Linked DNA regions of Rattus norvegicus. The protein of the gene in region 1 purifies or fractionates together with the protein of each later gene. This does not show direct contact. Links are inferred from orthologs where the notes say so. Each region holds a gene or a part of one and is shown on either strand. Other genes may lie near its edges.

What was found.
Region 2: the proteins of Cdh1 (region 1) and Skp2 purify together in Homo sapiens (affinity purification with western blotting; 3 studies listed by BioGRID and IntAct, with this or other methods). This does not show direct contact. The link is inferred for Rattus norvegicus from reciprocal best matches to the Homo sapiens genes CDH1 and SKP2.
Region 3: the proteins of Cdh1 (region 1) and Ctnna1 purify together in Homo sapiens (affinity purification with western blotting; 10 studies listed by BioGRID and IntAct, with this or other methods). This does not show direct contact. The link is inferred for Rattus norvegicus from reciprocal best matches to the Homo sapiens genes CDH1 and CTNNA1.
Region 4: the proteins of Cdh1 (region 1) and Plekha7 purify together in Homo sapiens (co-immunoprecipitation; 3 studies listed by BioGRID and IntAct, with this or other methods). This does not show direct contact. The link is inferred for Rattus norvegicus from reciprocal best matches to the Homo sapiens genes CDH1 and PLEKHA7.

The regions. Positions count from the first base shown.
Region 1 is NC_086037.1:51,454,083-51,458,199, forward strand, and holds part of Cdh1 (cadherin-1 precursor), read left to right. Parts: intron 1-588; coding exon 589-732; intron 733-840; coding exon 841-996; intron 997-4,117.
Region 2 is NC_086020.1:59,913,209-59,918,020, reverse strand, and holds the start of Skp2 (S-phase kinase-associated protein 2), read left to right. Parts: upstream 1-1,549; 5' UTR 1,550-1,636; coding exon 1,637-1,644; intron 1,645-2,144; coding exon 2,145-2,416; intron 2,417-4,812. UniProt on the Homo sapiens protein: Substrate recognition component of a SCF (SKP1-CUL1-F-box protein) E3 ubiquitin-protein ligase complex which mediates the ubiquitination and subsequent proteasomal degradation of target proteins involved in cell cycle progression, signal transduction and transcription.
Region 3 is NC_086036.1:27,131,175-27,135,701, forward strand, and holds the end of Ctnna1 (catenin alpha-1), read left to right. Parts: intron 1-158; coding exon 159-340; intron 341-465; coding exon 466-571; intron 572-1,928; coding exon 1,929-2,063; intron 2,064-2,723; coding exon 2,724-3,011; 3' UTR 3,012-3,835; downstream 3,836-4,527. UniProt on the Homo sapiens protein: Associates with the cytoplasmic domain of a variety of cadherins. The association of catenins to cadherins produces a complex which is linked to the actin filament network, and which seems to be of primary importance for cadherins cell-adhesion properties.
Region 4 is NC_086019.1:179,979,183-179,983,953, forward strand, and holds the start of Plekha7 (pleckstrin homology domain-containing family A member 7), read right to left. Parts: upstream 2,974-4,771; 5' UTR 2,901-2,973; coding exon 2,818-2,900; exon of another isoform or gene 2,716-2,817; coding exon 2,639-2,715; exon of another isoform or gene 2,560-2,638; coding exon 2,502-2,559; exon of another isoform or gene 170-2,501; intron 1-169. UniProt on the Homo sapiens protein: Required for zonula adherens biogenesis and maintenance. Acts via its interaction with CAMSAP3, which anchors microtubules at their minus-ends to zonula adherens, leading to the recruitment of KIFC3 kinesin to the junctional site.

The DNA.
Region 1 (4,117 bases):
TTCAAACCCGCAAATTTTGTATGCACGGTGATTATTTGAATGCTACATATTAAGAATTTAATGAGAACAGCCTGGTGGTGATGGATGGCACATGCCTTTAATTCCAGCACTTGGAAGGCAGAGGCAGGTGGATTTCTCTTTAGTTCAAGGCCAGCCAGGTCTGCAGAACAAGTTCCAGGACTGCAAAGGGCTACACAGAGAAACCCTATCTCAAACAAACAAACAAACAAACAAACAAACAAACAAACAAACAAAACTTGAGTTTTTCTTTCTGGTGGTTCAAGCCCAAATTGCACTTTTATTTTGTAGCACATCAGAGTAGCAGCACACAGGAGAGAAGACCTCTCATTAGCCACTAAGTTAGGAACAATGCTTTTAGGCATAGGGAATATTGTGGGTAGTCAGTGTCCAGACAACAGCATTTGCATTTCTTTGGCTTATGTTTTAGCTGTTCATCCTGGATGGTACATGTAATTTGTCACTGAGAAGGAGTCACTAAATTCAAGATGGAAGACGTCCATGGGATAGATGAACTGTTAGACTTGTATGTCCTCTGCATTACCTCATTTTGTTAATCTTTCCACCTAGGACCCTGTCTCTGAATCCAACCCAGAGCTGCTCACGTTTCCCAGCTTTCACCAGGGTCTGAGAAGACAGAAACGAGACTGGGTCATCCCTCCCATCAACTGCCCGGAAAATCAAAAGGGCGAATTCCCCCAGCGACTGGTTCAGGTACGGGAGGAAGCTGGTGGAAGGCACTCCTGAGAGAAGAGAAAATGTAAAGACCCCATGTGGAGATCTTGCCTTTCCAATTCCCATTCGCTTCTGTTTTCTGTTCAGATCAAATCCAACAGGGACAAAGAGACAACGGTTTTCTACAGCATCACCGGCCCAGGAGCTGACAAACCCCCTGTTGGCGTTTTCATCATTGAGAGGGAGACAGGCTGGCTGAAAGTGACGCAGCCTCTGGACAGAGAAGCCATTGACAAGTACCTTGTGAGTATTTCTTAGATATTGTTGACCACTGGATAACAATTGTCAAATTTTAAAGCAGCTGGTGTTTTATTCCCCAGTTTGGATGTCCTGGACATACAAGTAGCTTAAATTATCTTAACAAGTCGGGGCGGTTCATTGCTGTTGTCGTAGGGATTCATCATATCATGCATGAGCTTAGATAAAAGCTGTCAAAGTAGGCTGGAGGAATGGCTCAACGGGTAAGAACATTTGTTGCTCTTGAAGAGTTCACTTCCCAGCATTCATGTAGGTGGATCACAACCACCTGAAACTCCTGCTCCGGCTGCTCTGATACCTTATGACAACCTCCATTGATAACTCCACAAAAGTGTGTGTGAACACGCGCGCGCACACACACACACTCAGAGACACACACACAGAGACAGACACACACACAGAGACAGACACACACACAGAGACAGACACACACACACACACACGCAGAGACAGACACAGAGAGACAGACAGACACAGAGAGAGAGAGAGACAGAGAGACAGACACACAGATATATACTGCCAAGCTGGGGATAGGTACTGAGGTGGGAGGGACAAAGGCTAAAGACTGATGATAGTCTTATAGCTCTTCCTTACTGTTCTAGGAGCCAGAAGCTAATGGCATCTGGCAGTTTAACTCTCTTGCTATTCTATGGCTAAAAGCTGCTGATTTCTGGCAATTAACTCCTGCTGGTAGATGTAGAGGATTAAGAAAAGTAGTTAGTTGCTTGGGCTGACTCCTCTTTGACTGAGGCTGAGAGTTCTGTTAACTCTGTAAGCCAGAGAGAAAGGAAAAGTCTCTAACACAGAAAAACACTCACTCTGGATGAAGCAGAGAGAAGAAGCTCCAACAAATCTTTGTTTCTGTTCTCACTATTCACATTCTCTGAAAATCCCCTCATACAACTATCAGTTAGAACTGTTGCAGTAGGATAATCGATTACATGATTTCTATAATGTAATTTGCCCCCCCCGCCCCCCCCCCCCGGAGCTGGGGACCAAACCCAGGGCCTTGTGCTTGCTAGGCAAGCACTCTACCACTGAGCTAAATCCCCAACGATTACATGATTTCTAAACACTCTTACGTTCTGTAAGTTCATAGTAAATTTAAGGCAATAGTTATAAGATTTAAGGAGTTACAGCAGAAATGTTTACATTTCTTCCCATTAAGACTAGTATCTGATGAAACATCTGTTATCTATCTTCTAGACCCATAAATCCAATATAAGTAAATAATTTTTTTTATCACAAGTTAACACAATTTTGTTAAGAGATAAATCACCTACCTTGCGTCTTATTAGTTTTGAAGTTTTGTATAGATAAACTAGTCAATATTTTATTTGTTGTATTTGCACCTACAATAAATTGTCCATTCCCAGTTTATGACCTTTAGTTACCAGATAGTGGCCTTGTTCCTAACCTAGAAGGAATGTTTTACTTGGTCGTAAATTTGTTCCAAGCCTGCTGCTTTCTTTTTTTTTTTTTTTTTTTTGGTTCTTTTTTTCGGAGCTGGGGACCGAACCCAGGGCCTTGCGCTTCCTAGGTAAGCGCTCTACCACTGAGCTAAATCCCCAGCCCCCGCCTGCTGCTTTCTTTTCTTAGTGCAGTTAGCCTGTAACACGTGACGGTTTACAGAGCTCTGTTTGCAGCTTTTTCTTCTGTAGGGGACTTGAGATTACTTGTATCAATTTAGGAATTTTATAAAATCATTATCAAGAATTATGAAATCATCAATTCTATAGGCATTACTATATGAAAGCACATCTTCATATTGATTCTGTAGGAGATGTGCCCAATAGGGTGGGCTGATGCCCAGGAATTGGCTGTGCGATAGTGAAAGGAAATACAGTAGCAAGAAGCAATCCTGGGATGAAGTCTCTGAGGACCCTGCATTCTCAGAGCTCACCCATCGCACCTATACAAAATGGTGGCCATCTCCAGAAACCTCACTTGTATGCCTTAGCCTTTCCTAAGTGACTTCTGACATATACACATACATAACAAAAATTGTAAGATGTTGACTTGGCTCAGAAGATGGCTTAGTTATTTTTTTGTTTTTTGGTTTTTTTTTTTTTTTTTTTGTTTGTTTGTTTTCTTCTTCTTCTTTTTTTTTTTTTGGAGCTGGGGACTGAACCCAGGGCCTTGCGCTTGCTAGGCAAGCGCTCTACCACTGAGCTAAATCCCCAACCCTGATGGCTTAGTTGTTAAGAGCACTGGTTGTTCTTGTAAAGGACCTGAGTTTGGTTCCCCATACTGACACGGTAGCTCATAACCATCTGTAACTCAGGTCCAAGGGGACTCAGTGACTTCCTTAGGTATTAGCTCAGGTATATATATGGTATATATACATACCTGGAGCCAAAATATTCGTGTGTGTGTGTGTGTGTGTGTGTGTGTGTGTGTGTGTGTAAAAGAGAGGGGGTGGGGAATAGAGAAATGGCTTAGCAGGTAAGAACACTGGCTACCCTTTCAAAGGACCTGGTTCAATCTGTAGCACACCCAGCAGCTCAGAACTGCCTGTAACTCCAGTTCCTAAGGATTCAACACTCTCACACAGACATATATGCAGACAAAACACCAGTACACATAAGTAAATAAATATTTTTTTTAAATTGGTGTTCTGCCTGCATGTATGCTTGCACACCAGTAGAGGTTATCAGATCTCATTATAAGTGGTTGGTTATGAGCCACCATGTGGATCCTAGGGATTGAACAAAGGACCTGTAGAATGATCTTAATCTCTGAGCCATCTCTCCAGCCCCAAATAAATCTTTAGAAAAAAAAAAAAAAGTCAACTTGTTCTTGGGGAGAAATTTCTTACCTAGATGATACATATTCTGATAATAACTAGGGTACAAAGCTCACTTCTGAGACTTGGTTGCAGTGTGAACTTAGGGAGGAGGGAGATAATCTATAGATGCCAAATGGAGAGAAATCTCAGGGAAATATTAGACTGGAATGGCCGGAGGGAAAATTACCCCACCTGAAGTAAGTCTATATGTGATAAGTGGGCCATCTGTCTGGTGGTCGTATTCTTTAACTTTGAGACTTAACTCATCATGAGTTCATTAAGTAGCAACACACAGCGGAAAATTCTCACATGAAGGTA
Region 2 (4,812 bases), on another chromosome or scaffold:
AAGATACTTTCCATAACAAAACTGTGAATACTCAAGTCTCATAGTCTTGCTTCTTTTCAATTAAAACTAATTTGAGAACAGGTCTTTAAAAAAACAAACAAACAAACAAACAAAAAAACACCAATCTCAATTTCAGGAACTAAGGGTTTATGAATTTCTTCCTGTCAAGAAGTAACTAATGCAAAGATTATGGTAGAAACAAAGGCGTAACTGAGCGTGAAGGGCTTAATTCCATTATAAAACAAATCCTGCCCTCCCCACAAAGAAACACAAGGGTATGCAATCTAACATACTAAACCAATATTCTAATGTTTTTGATGAAGGTAGCCTGCTTTGTTCTCAACTCTATAAATCCTCTTCATTTTGGACTTGAAATGCATTCCCCTACCCTCTCCCCTGTTGCTCCGAAGTCACATTATCATCATCATCACATCATCATCATCATCATCATCATCATCATCAACATTGCAGTTTGCACACTTGAATTTTGCATGGTCATTCTAATCTAATAGCCCCCGACCCCTTCAGAGGCTAAATTAGCATAGTTTTCAGCAGGGAGAGATTCATAGAGAGGCTGTGGGTTGAGTCAGAGGCACCTACACAGCTTTCAGGGTGGTCTCTCCTTGCAAGCAGCGCCTCTCTTTTTCCTATTGCATTGGAGAGACCCGTCAAGGATCCAAGAGGATACACACGGGAACCACTGCTGGCTCCTGCTGCCTTAAAAATAAACCACCGCTTCTCTTGGAACTGCGCTTTAGCTTAAAAAGGCTTTCACTCGCACTGTCTGACTTGATCTTCAGTCCAAGCCCGTGGGGTGTGCGTCGTCCTCAAGCCTACTTTATACGTGAGGCAGGGATCGCGTCCACAGACCCAGTCCTAAGGGCCGCCCACTGCCAGGTGGAGGAAGGCGAATGGCCGGCTGGCAGGCGTGCCACCCGCAATCTCTCACCTGGCGGGCGGCCGAGACCGGGGAGATGGGCCTGGCGGAGGCGGCCACTCGGAATCTGGAACCCCCAAGTCTATCTCCGCCAGACTGGGCCGGGACCCCAGACCCTGACGCACCTCACGCGTCCCCGCCCCCCTCACGCTCACCGTCAGACCTCGCCAGACAGCGTCTGGAAGGAACTCGGAAGCTTCGCGTCCGCCGTAGTCTGCCGGGGTCAGGGATCCTTCAGTCTCGGGCGACCGTGGCGGTGGTCACCCGAAGGCCTGTGGGCTCCGGGAAAAGGAAAACCCGCTCCCAGTCAATCGACTGACATTTCCCAGTCAGTCGGAGCTCCACCCACTTCCGCCTGCCTGTCCTCCTTCTTCACTCCCGCCCTTAGCCGCGGGGAGTTGTGGGTATTTGGAGGGTTCGTCCAAAATAAGAGTGGAGGAAATAAGGAGAGATAGAGACGGACTACGAGCCAGGCCCGGAACTACAATTCCCAGCAGGCAACGAGGCGCCAGAAGGCGGCTGCTGGAGAGCGGGATGCAGAACTCCGCGCGCGCGTTGGTGATGGAACGTTGCTAGTTCGCGGGTCCAGCTGCTGGGGCCCCGGGGATCATTGTAAGCAGCGCCCTAGAACGGGAGTCTGGAAGGCAGGCAGCTCTTCAATTAATTGAAGCATTCAAAACTCCTTAATCAGTGGACGCCATGCATAGGTAAACCGATTGCAAAAAACCGGGCAAAGCATGAATGAATCGTTTGAATTCTTTTAGGCCGCGAATGTCGCTTCTTGCTCAAATAATCTTATGTGAATGGTTGCTTAGTTCCTTTTTGGAAGAAAATGGATGGGTGGATGGATGGATGCTTTAGCACGAATATCAATATGCGGTTTAATTTGGCTTCCTAATTAGGTTTTCCTTCCACTTCTTTGAATCACGGTATGAATGCCGTCCCTCTTTTTCCCTCCACGGGAAGAAATTATTGAGGCCTTCTGCGTGACCATAAATCCCAAAGCCTTTCCAAGTGTATGTGTTTCCGATTTTCTCTTTCATTCCTGGATTTCTCTCGCCGCTGTAGGCACGTTAAAAAAAAAATGCAGTTCTGTGACTTGCTGTGACTTTTCGACACTGCATACTTGACGGTTCTTGCATTCCTACCTTGGAATTATTTAGAGGTGTGCTTTCAAAAGGAATAGGGAATGTGTGCCCTTCTGCAGGAAGCACCTTCAGGAGATTCCGGACCAGAGTAGCAACGTCACCACCAGCTTCACGTGGGGATGGGATTCCAGCAAGACTTCTGAACTGCTGTCAGGCATGGGTGTCTCTGCCTTGGAGAAGGAGGAGGTGGACAGTGAGAACATCCCACATGGACTGCTCTCAAACCTCGGCCACCCCCAGAGCCCTCCAAGGAAAAGGCTAAAGAGCAAAGGGAGTGACAAAGACTTTGTGATCATTCGTCGGCCTAAGCTCAATCGAGAGAACTTTCCAGGTAAGGCATGACACTAAGATTCAAATTATGTAAGAAGTGGATTAAACTATTTTTGTTTTAGCTATTAACTTGGGGAACCTTGGGGATCAGTACCTAAAATTTCCTAGTTTGGAAGTGTCACAGTGAAATGGATCCCATTCATCAAGTCTCCAGGAATCTTGCTTGGTCTTTATCTTGTGGTCAAGGATTGACTTGAAACTTTTAGCCCACGAGGCAGCATTCCTGCCCTTTCCCTTGGAAGGGAATCTCCCTGCTCAAAGTCCAGCTCAGCACATTGATAAATGGGAACAGAAGCAGGGATCTTAGAGGGTCCCCTTTTGTCTCTAATATTCTTTATATCTGAGCAAGCTTTGTGTCTTAATCACTAGGTTATTTGTGGGCACATTAGTAATATAAATGTTAATCTAAGTAGAGGAGACTTAGACTGCTCCACTTGCAAACAGGCCCTTGGGGATGTCGTGCTTCCATTACTGTACCACTGTCACTCCCACTGTCCACTGCCCTTTATATCCAACTTGTCACTGTGTCTTTCACTCTTGTATGGCAACTGCCTCAAGCTTTCATCATCTCTTCCTGAATTATTGTAATGGGTTTATACTTTCAGCTTTCTTCTCAATTCTGTCTCCAGAAGGCAGAGCGGATTGATGAAAACAGAATTTACCTGAAATTATTCTCTTGCTAGTGATTCCCATTCCCTGATTTCCCAACCATTTTTAAGTAAGTTCCTCCCAAGTAGATCACGTCTCAAGGACTCCTGGGGCCTTAGGGTAAATAGAGTGGATTGACCTGAGGCACTGTCAGAGTTTCGCCCTGCCCCCTAGTCATTTAAAAGAGTGACTCAGCAAGAGTTGCTGAGAGCACACTGTCCTCTACAGTATGGTGCTAAGAAGAACAGCAGTGAACACATCTTAGAGCTTCCTTTCTAGTGAAGAGATACTCTCAGGACAGTGGATATGGTACCTTATGTAATGTGTTAGGCCACAGGGGCTAAAAACAAAAGGGTGTCAAGCTGGGGAAGAATGGAAGTCCTGGAATCTGAAGATAGATTGCAAACTGGGTATCAGCTGAAACCCTTAATTGGGCCGTGACCTTTAAGCAAAGACTAGGAGGGGAGAGTGCAGGAGTAAGGCATGGAAATGTCCCTTGGTCTAAGGAACCCAACACAAAGGGAACGGCCATTAAAAATCCTGGAGAAAAGGATGGACCCTACCGGAAAAATCAGAGTAGGCGTGGACAGAGTAGGAAGAAGTATGGCCACTGGTGAAGCTGATCATACCTCGTTGAAGCCATTCACTCCCCTTCCCTTGTTCTGTTTTGTTTTGTGGAGTCAGGGTTTCTCTGTTTGTCATATAACGCACTCTATACACCAGGCTGGCCTCAAACTCAGAGATGTACCTAACTCAAGTGCTGGGATTAAAAGAATAGACCATCACCGCCCTGGCTCATTGAAGCCTTTGAAGGAACACATTGGTTAGCTGAGGTTGAACTGTATCGGGTAGAGGACAGACAACAGACCCCTAGAGATTTATTTAGACTTGTGGGAATGTGATAAATGATGCTGGATATAGTCTAAGTTTAGAGACAATAGGATGAGAGCAGTGGAAGAGGTAAAAACTGAGTCAGAACTGAAAGTGGGTGAGGAATAGAAAAACAGATTGAAGAAAGCATCAGGGTGAAGTCTTGCCATTGGGAAGAAAGGTAGTCTTCGGTCCTTCCTTCTGGCGCTGTCTGCAGGTGAGCTGATCAGTGGCTTGCTTTAAAATACCTATTTTGTAGTCTCATGTGGTGTCACAAGCCTTTGAACCCAACACTCAGGTAGCTGGAGCAGACTGATGTCTGCGAATTGGAAGCTGGCCTAACCAGTAAGCTCCAGGACAGCCAGGGCTGTACAGTGAGACACTGTCCCAAAAGACAAAATCTGTTGGGGCTTCTTAGTACTTTTGTAGGAGAGGGAGTCATCCTCAAGTTGTAGCATGTGAGTCCACATTGATGCCGGGTATGGTGGCAGGTATCTCTAGCCCCAGCTTGGAGGCTGAAGTCAGAGGATGGGGATTTCTGGAAAGCATGAGCTTCGCAGTATGGCTGTCTCAAAATTGGAAAAAAATCACTGAATAAATAATGATAAATGAGATTAACTAGAGGAGTGTGGGACAAGTTCAGACAAATCTGCATTTAAATCTTGATGCTGCCATTGGGAGCTACCTTGGGAAGTTACCTGAGCTTTCTGGGCCTTAGTTTCCTTATCTGTGAAATGGAACAAAAAGGTTTGTGTGAACATTGAATAACACCGTAAAGCTCATAGGATGATAGTGGCGTATAATGGTCCACACAACTTCTGACACTGGCTTGAGAAGCCAATTGACTTACATCTTCTGTCCATAATGTTGATTTGACTC
Region 3 (4,527 bases), on another chromosome or scaffold:
GAATTTAGGCTGCAGTGAATTCCTACAAAAATGAGAAAATTGCCCTTTGGGCAAAATGAAACCATTAAAGTATTATCCTACCTATGTTGTAGATTGCTGTTAGCCGTCTTGGCTAATGCACTGTGAGAACTTCCTGAGTGGTTTGCTTGTGGTTGTAGGCGATCATGGCTCAGCTTCCTCAGGAGCAGAAGGCAAAGATCGCAGAGCAGGTGGCCAGCTTCCAGGAGGAGAAGAGCAAGCTGGACGCTGAGGTGTCCAAGTGGGACGACAGCGGCAATGACATCATTGTGCTGGCCAAGCAGATGTGCATGATCATGATGGAGATGACCGACTTCACCCGGTGAGCGCAGCCCTGCAGCCCACAGAGAGAGAGGCTGAGGACTTCCCTGGGGCATAGACATCTTTTCTCCACTTAACCTCCAACCAAGATGGGATTCATAGACAGGCACCCTGTTCTCTTTTCAGAGGCAAAGGGCCACTCAAAAACACATCGGATGTGATCAGTGCTGCCAAGAAAATTGCTGAGGCAGGATCCAGGATGGATAAGCTTGGCCGGACCATCGCAGACCACGTGAGTGCCGCTCTGCACGGCCCATGGCTGAGGAAGCTGTTGATGAGCGTTCTCATGGGCCACGGCTCACCTTGGAAAATTGCTCTAAGCCACTCCATCAGTCCCAGCATACGTTCCTGAGGATTTCTCAACTCCTATTTCTTTGATGAGTTTCCAGGGTTGGGTGTGTCTATCTAAAACTTTCTATCACTCCAGTCTCTGCCGTGTTGGCTGGTTTTCAGTTTGGAGCAGAAGCAGATTCTGCTGCCTCCCTTCTCCTCACCCTCACCCAGCCTCTTGCTGTGAGCGCTGTTACAGCGTCTAGCTGGGGACAGGCTTCTCTTTCTCCTCACTGCTACTTCATACCTCCAGGAAGCCTCACAGCACTTCCCTGTGGCCTTTTTCTAGGCTTGTTATCCAAGCTTACTGTGTCATTCAGGCTGCAGGATGGGTGACATCTGTCCCTCATTACTCAAGCTAACACTTGGCAGTCATTCTTGACCACCCAATAAAAAGCCTTGTGGACAGTGTGTTGTGACAACACCTGTTCTTTCTGTCTGAAATTAGCAGCTCCATTGATCTCTTACTGCTCAGACCTCTGTGGCCTTTCTTTCCTCTGTTCTGCAAACAGCCATCAACACTGTCATCATAAAATGCAAATCACACTTGAATCTGTCCTGCTTCAGTGGCATCTTAGAAAAATTCAAAGCCTTCAGCATGGAGTATCTAGACCCCATTTTACACCACTGCGCTTCTCCCTCCCCTCCACCATTGGAAGAACAGTGTCTGTTGTGAGCACTGGAGAGTGAGTGAGTGGCTGTGCTTCCTTCTCTGAAGAAACCTAAGCACCCAGCCCCCAGCAGTCTGGGCAGAGGCCGCACTTGTCACCTTTTTGTTAATCACCTGTGCCTAGAGCTCTGTGTTCAGGGTTTATCTTGTGTGCGCCCTGGCTGAGAGGACAGCGAGCGCCTCGGCTGATGAATCACTTCTTTAATCTACATAGCTCAGCATTGTCTCCTCTGTAAGACCAGGCCCTTGCTTGCTGATGCTTACCTCACGTTATAGGGGCCAGGAGCTTCTCCCCTGGGGTGGAAACCTAGGCATTAGCACAGTAGTTGCTGGCAGACCCTGAGTTACTGAGTGGAAGGCTCAGAAAGTGTTCACTGCCTACCCCATGCAGGAGGTGGGCTCTGGGAGGGACTGTCCTGGGGTATGGCACCCTAGAGAATGGACACTCCCCCTTCTCTGCCCCTTGCTCCTTTAGGGAGGGAGGAAGCTAACACCCACGGGGAGCCTTTGAGAAATAACCCCGGGGACAGGAGTTGTCTGGGTGGGGCTGGGAGTACTCAGTGCTGAGCGTCTTTTCCTTTTCCGTCAGTGCCCAGACTCCGCCTGCAAGCAGGACCTGCTGGCCTACCTTCAGCGCATCGCGCTCTACTGCCACCAGCTCAACATCTGCAGCAAGGTCAAGGCTGAAGTACAGAACCTCGGTGGAGAGCTTGTCGTCTCTGGGGTAAGTGTCAGCGATGAGACACACTGGCCAGGAGGGGTTTGCTGGCCCGTGTCTGTAGCAGAAGTAGACATTTGTCCCTGTGCATCGCCCACCTACTCCAGACGGGGAAGGAGAAGCAGCATTAGCTACAAGGTCCTTCTTAGTTCCTCTTGGGTCCTGGAGCCCACCGGCCTCACACCATCTCTTTAGCATGGCATGGTTGGTGTGGCCCGGTGACAGCTGGAACTATTGCCAGGCCTCGTCTCTTTTGCCAGCTGTTCTTTGGAAAAGGGTGTTTTTATACCACCACCACCCCAAAAGAGTAATTAACCCAACTAAGAAATTACCAAATAGAACCGCGCCCACTGCTTTCTCCGTTTCTACCCACAAAGAGCTAAGTTGGAGCAATCCATCAGGTCACAGTCCCTGCCACTGTTCACGGTGCCCGTGCTACACAGCCTTGCACACTCGGCACTGTAAGGGATGGGGGATGAGGCGACTTTGTGTGTTGTCACCTTTTCTTTTCAAAGGCAAGTATTTGCAAGCTACATGGGTAAGAGCTGCCCTTGATAGAGCAGTAGGAGCCCCTTAAGGTGACGAGGCCCTGGTTGGTGTGGCCAGGCCACATGCATGCAGGGTTCTAGTCAGGCTCTTCACCGGTGACTCATCTGTCCTTTGTAGGTGGACAGCGCCATGTCCCTGATCCAGGCAGCCAAGAACTTGATGAACGCTGTAGTGCAGACAGTGAAGGCGTCCTACGTGGCTTCCACCAAATACCAGAAGTCACAGGGGATGGCGTCCCTCAACCTTCCTGCTGTGTCATGGAAAATGAAAGCCCCCGAGAAGAAGCCCTTGGTGAAGAGAGAGAAGCAGGATGAGACACAGACCAAGATCAAGCGGGCCTCCCAGAAGAAGCACGTGAACCCTGTGCAGGCCCTCAGCGAGTTCAAGGCCATGGACAGCATCTGAGCTCCGTAGCCCATGGGGGTCCCGAAAAGTCGGTCACATACTTCTCCACTCAGATGTGTTTGCTAAGTAGAGAGCTCTGTTGTATTCCACAGGGAGGGAGCAGATTTCAAACTCAGCCAGGTGGTGAATTTTGCAAGGACATGTTTGTGTTAAAGCTGGTTAGAAAAAAAGCTTTTAGAATTCAAAATATATTTCTAGCTATATTTTTATAAGCTTAATTGAAATAAAAATTCTGTAATCAGAGAGTGCCACATTAACTTCTTGGTCCATTTCTGAACAGGCCGGGGTGAGCACCCAAGGGAGAGGTTGCCTTTAGCCCTACTGTGGGGCAGTATGGAATCAAATGGCCAAGGGTGACCCAGGGTAAACCATGGGGCACCTTAAACTGTGTGAGAAAGAAGGTCCAGAAACCTGAGGAATAAAACAATGGATTACCCTGGAAATTGATTGGTTTCTTTATGAAGCAGAATGGGAATTATGATTCACGGCTAAGTTACTAATGTGCTCTGCTGTAGGACACTAATAGAGTTGCTTTTCTCGGGCTAGAACGTTGTGATGCTGTAATCAGAACATGCTTCCCCTGTTATTCCAGCTGGAAATGCAAATTCATCGTCGGGCTCTCGTAATAATCGCAGTGTTTCCTGCTTTGGGCTGGCTAAGGAGCCTTGACAGCAGTGTTCGCTTAGGCAATAATTTAGACTCCACCTTACTTGTGATTACTATAGCAATTACCATAGCTACAAGATAAGATTTTACTGTCTTATTTAAATTTTATGAATCTGTTTTTTACACTAATTTTCCCAATAAAGTCTATTATGAACCAAGTCTAAGAAGCAGAAGTCATTCTTTGCCTTCAAGAAGAGTCAGACTTGGGCTAATTGCCCCTCTGCCCAGGATGCCTAGGGAGGAGGGAGAGACAGTGACTGGATCTCTAGGGAGGACCTCTCAGGTTCTTGCCTCCCAGGCAGGGTAAGTCCTGTTCAGTACCCCAGCCTGAGGAGTGTCACAGCCATTCTTCAGGGTTCAAGTCAAAGCCGTGGGGGCCCTTCTATGCCAGCAGCATCAACCATGACATGAAAATGGCTGACTCCATTCCCTAGCCTTGTCTCCTATCCCTTCCTCCTACAGATTCCCTCTTAGAGATCCCTAAAGAGATGGCCGTGGACCTTGTCACCTTACTAACTTGTTCTGCCATTGCAGTCAGTGCTTATCTTGCCCCTTGTCAAGTTGACTGCCTTCCCCAGTCACACTGGCCCTACCTTATCAGACCTGCGTAGGCAAGGTCCATGGAACCCACTTCCTTACACACCTTCTCCTCTGTGCCTTCCCTCATCTGCCTGCCTGCCTGCCTGCCCCTCCCTCCGCTCTTCTGATCTTCTGATCTTACCCAAGGTGCCTGGCTTTCAGTGCCTGATACTGGCTTGTTATTGGCACTCTGCTTTTAAGTCTGATATTCTGAGATGTTCCCTCTGGCCAGGGCGCACCCGCTGCCTCTGCTCTCCATGCCTAAGGCCCT
Region 4 (4,771 bases), on another chromosome or scaffold:
GTATAAACTAAGATAACAAAAACCCTTGTTTTCCCTAATTTCCCTCACTATGCTTTTGCTCATGGTGTTTATGAACAGACAGCACACCAGGACAGACATTTGGCCCACACTTGTCCTCGATGACATCTATGCCCTATGACATCACGTAGTTATCCTCAGATGGGTCTCTGCGAGCCTCTCTCCCTCTCAACCGCAAGCTTTAGATTCATATATCTGTATCAGTCGTTCTCAACCCTCCTAATGCTGTGACCCTTTTATATAGCTCCTCATGTTGTGGTGACCCCCAACCACAAAATTGTCTTTGCTGCTACTTAATAACTGTAACTTTGCTGTTATGAATCATAATGTAAATATCTGTGTTTTCCCATGATTCTAGTCAACCCCTGAAAAGGGATTATTTGTGAATCAGGGGAGAATTACTGAACTACATGATATATTCACATCTTATATGTAACAGAGTAAAATAAGATTTTTTAAACACCTATTCAAGCCTATATCTCCCTCAGCCTTCCCATCTCAAAGATATGGGCACCACCCACTCACTCAGGAACTCCAACCTCTAGGAGTCAACAGTGTGTGTTCATGCATACATGCATGCAGCATGTGTACTTGTATGTATTCCTGTGTGTACAAGTACACACGTATATGTGTGCCTGTAAATATAAAATCCAGGAGCCAGCCCAACCTCACATGTTGTTTCTCAAATATCCACTTATTTTTGAAACTGTCTCTTCCTGGGAAGTGGGGCTTGCAGCTTAGGCAGGATGACCCGCAGCAGGCCCCAGATTCTCCTGTCTCCACCTCCCCAGTGACAGCTAGGATTACAAGTGCACGTTACCACACCTGGGTTTTTAGGAGATCTAACGTGAGTCCTCGTGCTTGCATGACAAGCGCTTTATGGACTGTGCATCTCCCCAGTCCCCTAGGAGTCATCTTTGTTCTTTCTCTCGGGCAGCATCCAAAGCACAGCCTGAATCCGACTACCTTTCTCCATCTCTGTGCTTCACCCTCCACTAACAGTCTGCTCTGGACCACAGCCACAGCCTCCTGCTGTCCACCAAACCCCATTCTCCCTAACGGAAGAATACCCAAAGCATACCAAGTCACTTTAAACCGTCTGCATCCTCCCTGGTCTCCGAACAGAGTTCAGGAGCTCTTTACCCTGGTCCAATTTCAGCATTTACCTCCCTTCCTGTGACTCCCGTTAATGCCATTCTCTCCCTAGATCACCATCTTCAAGCCACTCATTGAACTGGAAGGGGTTTGTACCTTAAACATTTTTTTCTGAAATGTCTTGCCCCTACTGGCACCACAGCAGGGGTCCTTCTTGTCATTCAAATTCCAAATGTCACCTGCTCAGAAAAAAGTCCTCAGGACCTACCAATCCAACCAGCCATCCAATCACTCCAAGTCACATCCCCTCGTGTTAATTTTCCGCACAGCAGCCACCGTTACCTGCTATTATTATTTGCTCACTCTTTGTTCCCTTTCCTCCCGCGGATTACATATCGACGAAGAAGAACAGTGAGCACCTCCCTTCCACACACCTCATCCATCAGCAGTCACTATTCAAGAGTCCCAAGTGATAAAGGAGGCTCGGGACTTTCTCCACACCTTCTGATCCAGATCTAAACATTGTCTCCAAGTTGGTGAAGAAATTAATTCTGAATCACGGTCCCCCACAGTACACCGAGTGCCAGTCAAACCATCGGCCGCCAGACCTTTGGCTAGTTCATTCATTCCATAAACAAACATTTACAGAGCTCCTACTCTATGCCAGGCACTGACTGGGTCAAACGATCAAAGGCAAGTTCTGACTCCCAGGACCCACAGAGGGGAGGAACGCTGCAACACAGGCACCTTCCCGGAGTGGGAAAAGGGAAGATTGTACACGTGTCCCCTTACAGCTTCGAGATCAGATCCACGCAGCCCAACAGACCCAGAATAACTGTTGGGACAGCGCCCAGAGATTCAGGCGGCTAAGCTCCCGTTCTACTAGCCCAGGCAGAGCCGACCGTCCGCGTTCCACTGCGTTCGGCGCCCGCCGAAGACTCGCGGGTAGAGTTCCAAGAATATCATTGGCTGACCGGGAGCCCCACCCCCATCCCATCCCTGAGAAGCAAGGATGCAGCGGCCCGGGTCGCGCTCCAACTCTCCACCGCCAGCCCAGCCAGCGCGGCTACACTAGCGTCGGGGCCCCCTCCCCCCTCCCCCACGCCCAAGCCCTCAGGCCACACTCCTGACCCACCGGAGCCTTTCTCCCTGACACCGGCCACTGTGCCCAGCGCATGTCCCCGGGGTAGGCGTGTCCCGGGAGCCGTGGAGTTTGCTGGCTCGGCCGCCGGCGGGCGGGACCTGGTCAGGCCCCCTGCGGCGCTGCGAACCCCGGTACGCAGCGGTCCCCCGAGCCCGCCACCTTCAGACATACAAACCCCAAGCGCCGAGCCCGCCAAGGTTGCGGGAAAGCAAGCGAGGTGCGGCGGTGGTGCGGGCTCACTTACTCTATGAAGAAACTGGCGCCCTCCTCCGTGAAGCCCTCCTCCCAGCCGCGCGGCAAGTCTGCGGGAAGGCGAGAAAAGTTGGTCAAACTTGCACAGCCGTGGCGCCCTCCCGCACCCTCTACCGACCGGGCGCTTACCTGAGCGGATCATGTGACCGGAGTTGACCGGTTCTCCCGTACGCGGGTGCAGCCAGGTCGTGCAGCGGAGCTGGTCACTACGGGAGAGGTGCACCTGTTAGCGCCGCCGCCCCACACGCCCGCCCGCGGACCCAGCCCCAGCACACGACCCCGCCCGGGTGCCGCCGCCTCTCACGCACTTGATGAAGAAGACGCGGCCGTCCCGACAGACGCCGTAGGACCAGTGCTCAGGTAGGGTGTCCCGCCCGACCGCAGCCGCCATGTTCGCCCAGCGCCTGAGCCCCGGACCGGGGGAGGGGGGGATGGGTAAAGGGGCGGGGTAAGGGGCGGGGCGAGGAGATAGGGGTGCAAGATGTTGGACAGAGTGAGTGGGAGGGACAAGAAACGGGGAGCTGGAGTAACAAGGAGTTGGAACAAGGAGTTGGCTAGGGATAGGGAGGAGAGGACTAGATCTGAGGAGGAATAGGGAGAAGGGTACATTGGAAGAAATGAGGGGGAGAGGCAAGGAAGGAGTGGGAAGGGGCTGAGACGCGAGGGACTTGGACCGATCCTTCTGGGTTCCCCTGTGCTGGGTGCAGCGTGGGCTCCCAGCCTTGGTGACTCGTGGTTCGAGGTCACGGCCGGTGCCTCCAAAGTTCACTGGAGGAGGGCTGGCCGGAGCGGGGCACAGGGCCCCGCAGCCTTTGTCCCCGAGACTCGCAGGCCGTGAACAGACTACACCCCCCCCCCCAGCCCCCGACACACACCCTTTCTCCAGGAAAACCGGCCGACCTGCACACCACAGCTTCTCCTCCCCCCCACCCCGGAAGTCTGCTTCTGTCTTAGACTAGGAACACCAAACAGGTTTCTGCTGGATTCCAGAGCAGTCTCCAAGACTTCTGTAAAAGAAAAGCTAGCTTGTGATTCCAGCCCTGGGGAGACTGAAGCCGGAGGATTGCTGCGAGCTGGAAGACAGACAGAACTACTTAAGAGAATTACAGGACAGCGCAGGTTACTACGAGACCCTGTCTCAAAAAACAAAACGTAGGGGCTGGAGAGATGGCTCAGCAGTTAAGAGCACTGAGTGCTCTTCCAGAGCCCTGAGTTCAATTCCCAGCAACCACATGGTGACTCACAACCATTTGTAATAGGGTCTGATGCCCTCTCCTGGTGTGTCTGAAGAGAGCAATAGTATACTCACATATATTAAATAAACCTTTAAATTTTTTTTAAAAATGCCCCCCACACCTGAAGCTGCAGCGATCACAAACCTTCAGTTCTGACAACTGACAAAAAAAGAGGCGCTGGGTCTGGATTTCCCTGCTCTCATTTAAAGGAAGAGCTGTCAACCCGAATTCTTGGGGAGCTCTCCTGAGTTCCCAGAGTAAAGGAGACCCTTAACTCACTCGTTTGCTCCTAATTAACATTTATGTGTCTACTCTCTTTTGTCAGTTGGACAAGAGAAGGAGCCTTGATCTGCCCCCAAAATACCAGGACCTGGGCACCCGAACAATTCTACCTCATCCTTTCAGCAACATCTCAATGGAAGAATGGGAAACACTCCTCACTCTGCAAGTGGGTGGAGCCGGAGCCGGAGCCGGAAGCTAGGTGCTGGGCAAGGGTCAGGCCAGCCTTGCAGAGACACAGCTGCAGGTCTGAGGAGGCTCACTTGAGGGTGCAGCTGTCTGCACTGGGCACTAGAATTAGAGATCAGGAGTAGGATGGACCCTGAAGGGGGCGCAGTGGAGCTCTGTCAGTGTTTCTTGACCTGTGGGTCTCCACCCCTCGGAGTAGCATCTCAGATTACGTTTCATAACAATAGCAGTGAAATAATTTTGTCGTTGAGGGTCACCACAACATGACCGCTGCTCCAGAGGAACCTATTAGGGGTGCAGGTGAACCTGTGGGAGGGGTGTGGAGTGCTAGGAAGACCATGAAGCGATCCTTCCTCTGAAGCAGTCATTAGGGAGAGAGGTGCTGTGACTGGGAATGTGGAGCCTTCAGCCTCTGATCCAGTTCTTGACCAAATGAACACAGGGAGATAGCTTCTCTCTTTTTGTTGACATTTAAAAAAAATTGACATTGTTTTATTTTCCCTGTCAGGCATGGGCTGTGTGTGTGGTGTGGTGGGCTCAGTACAGGGATGGATGGTGG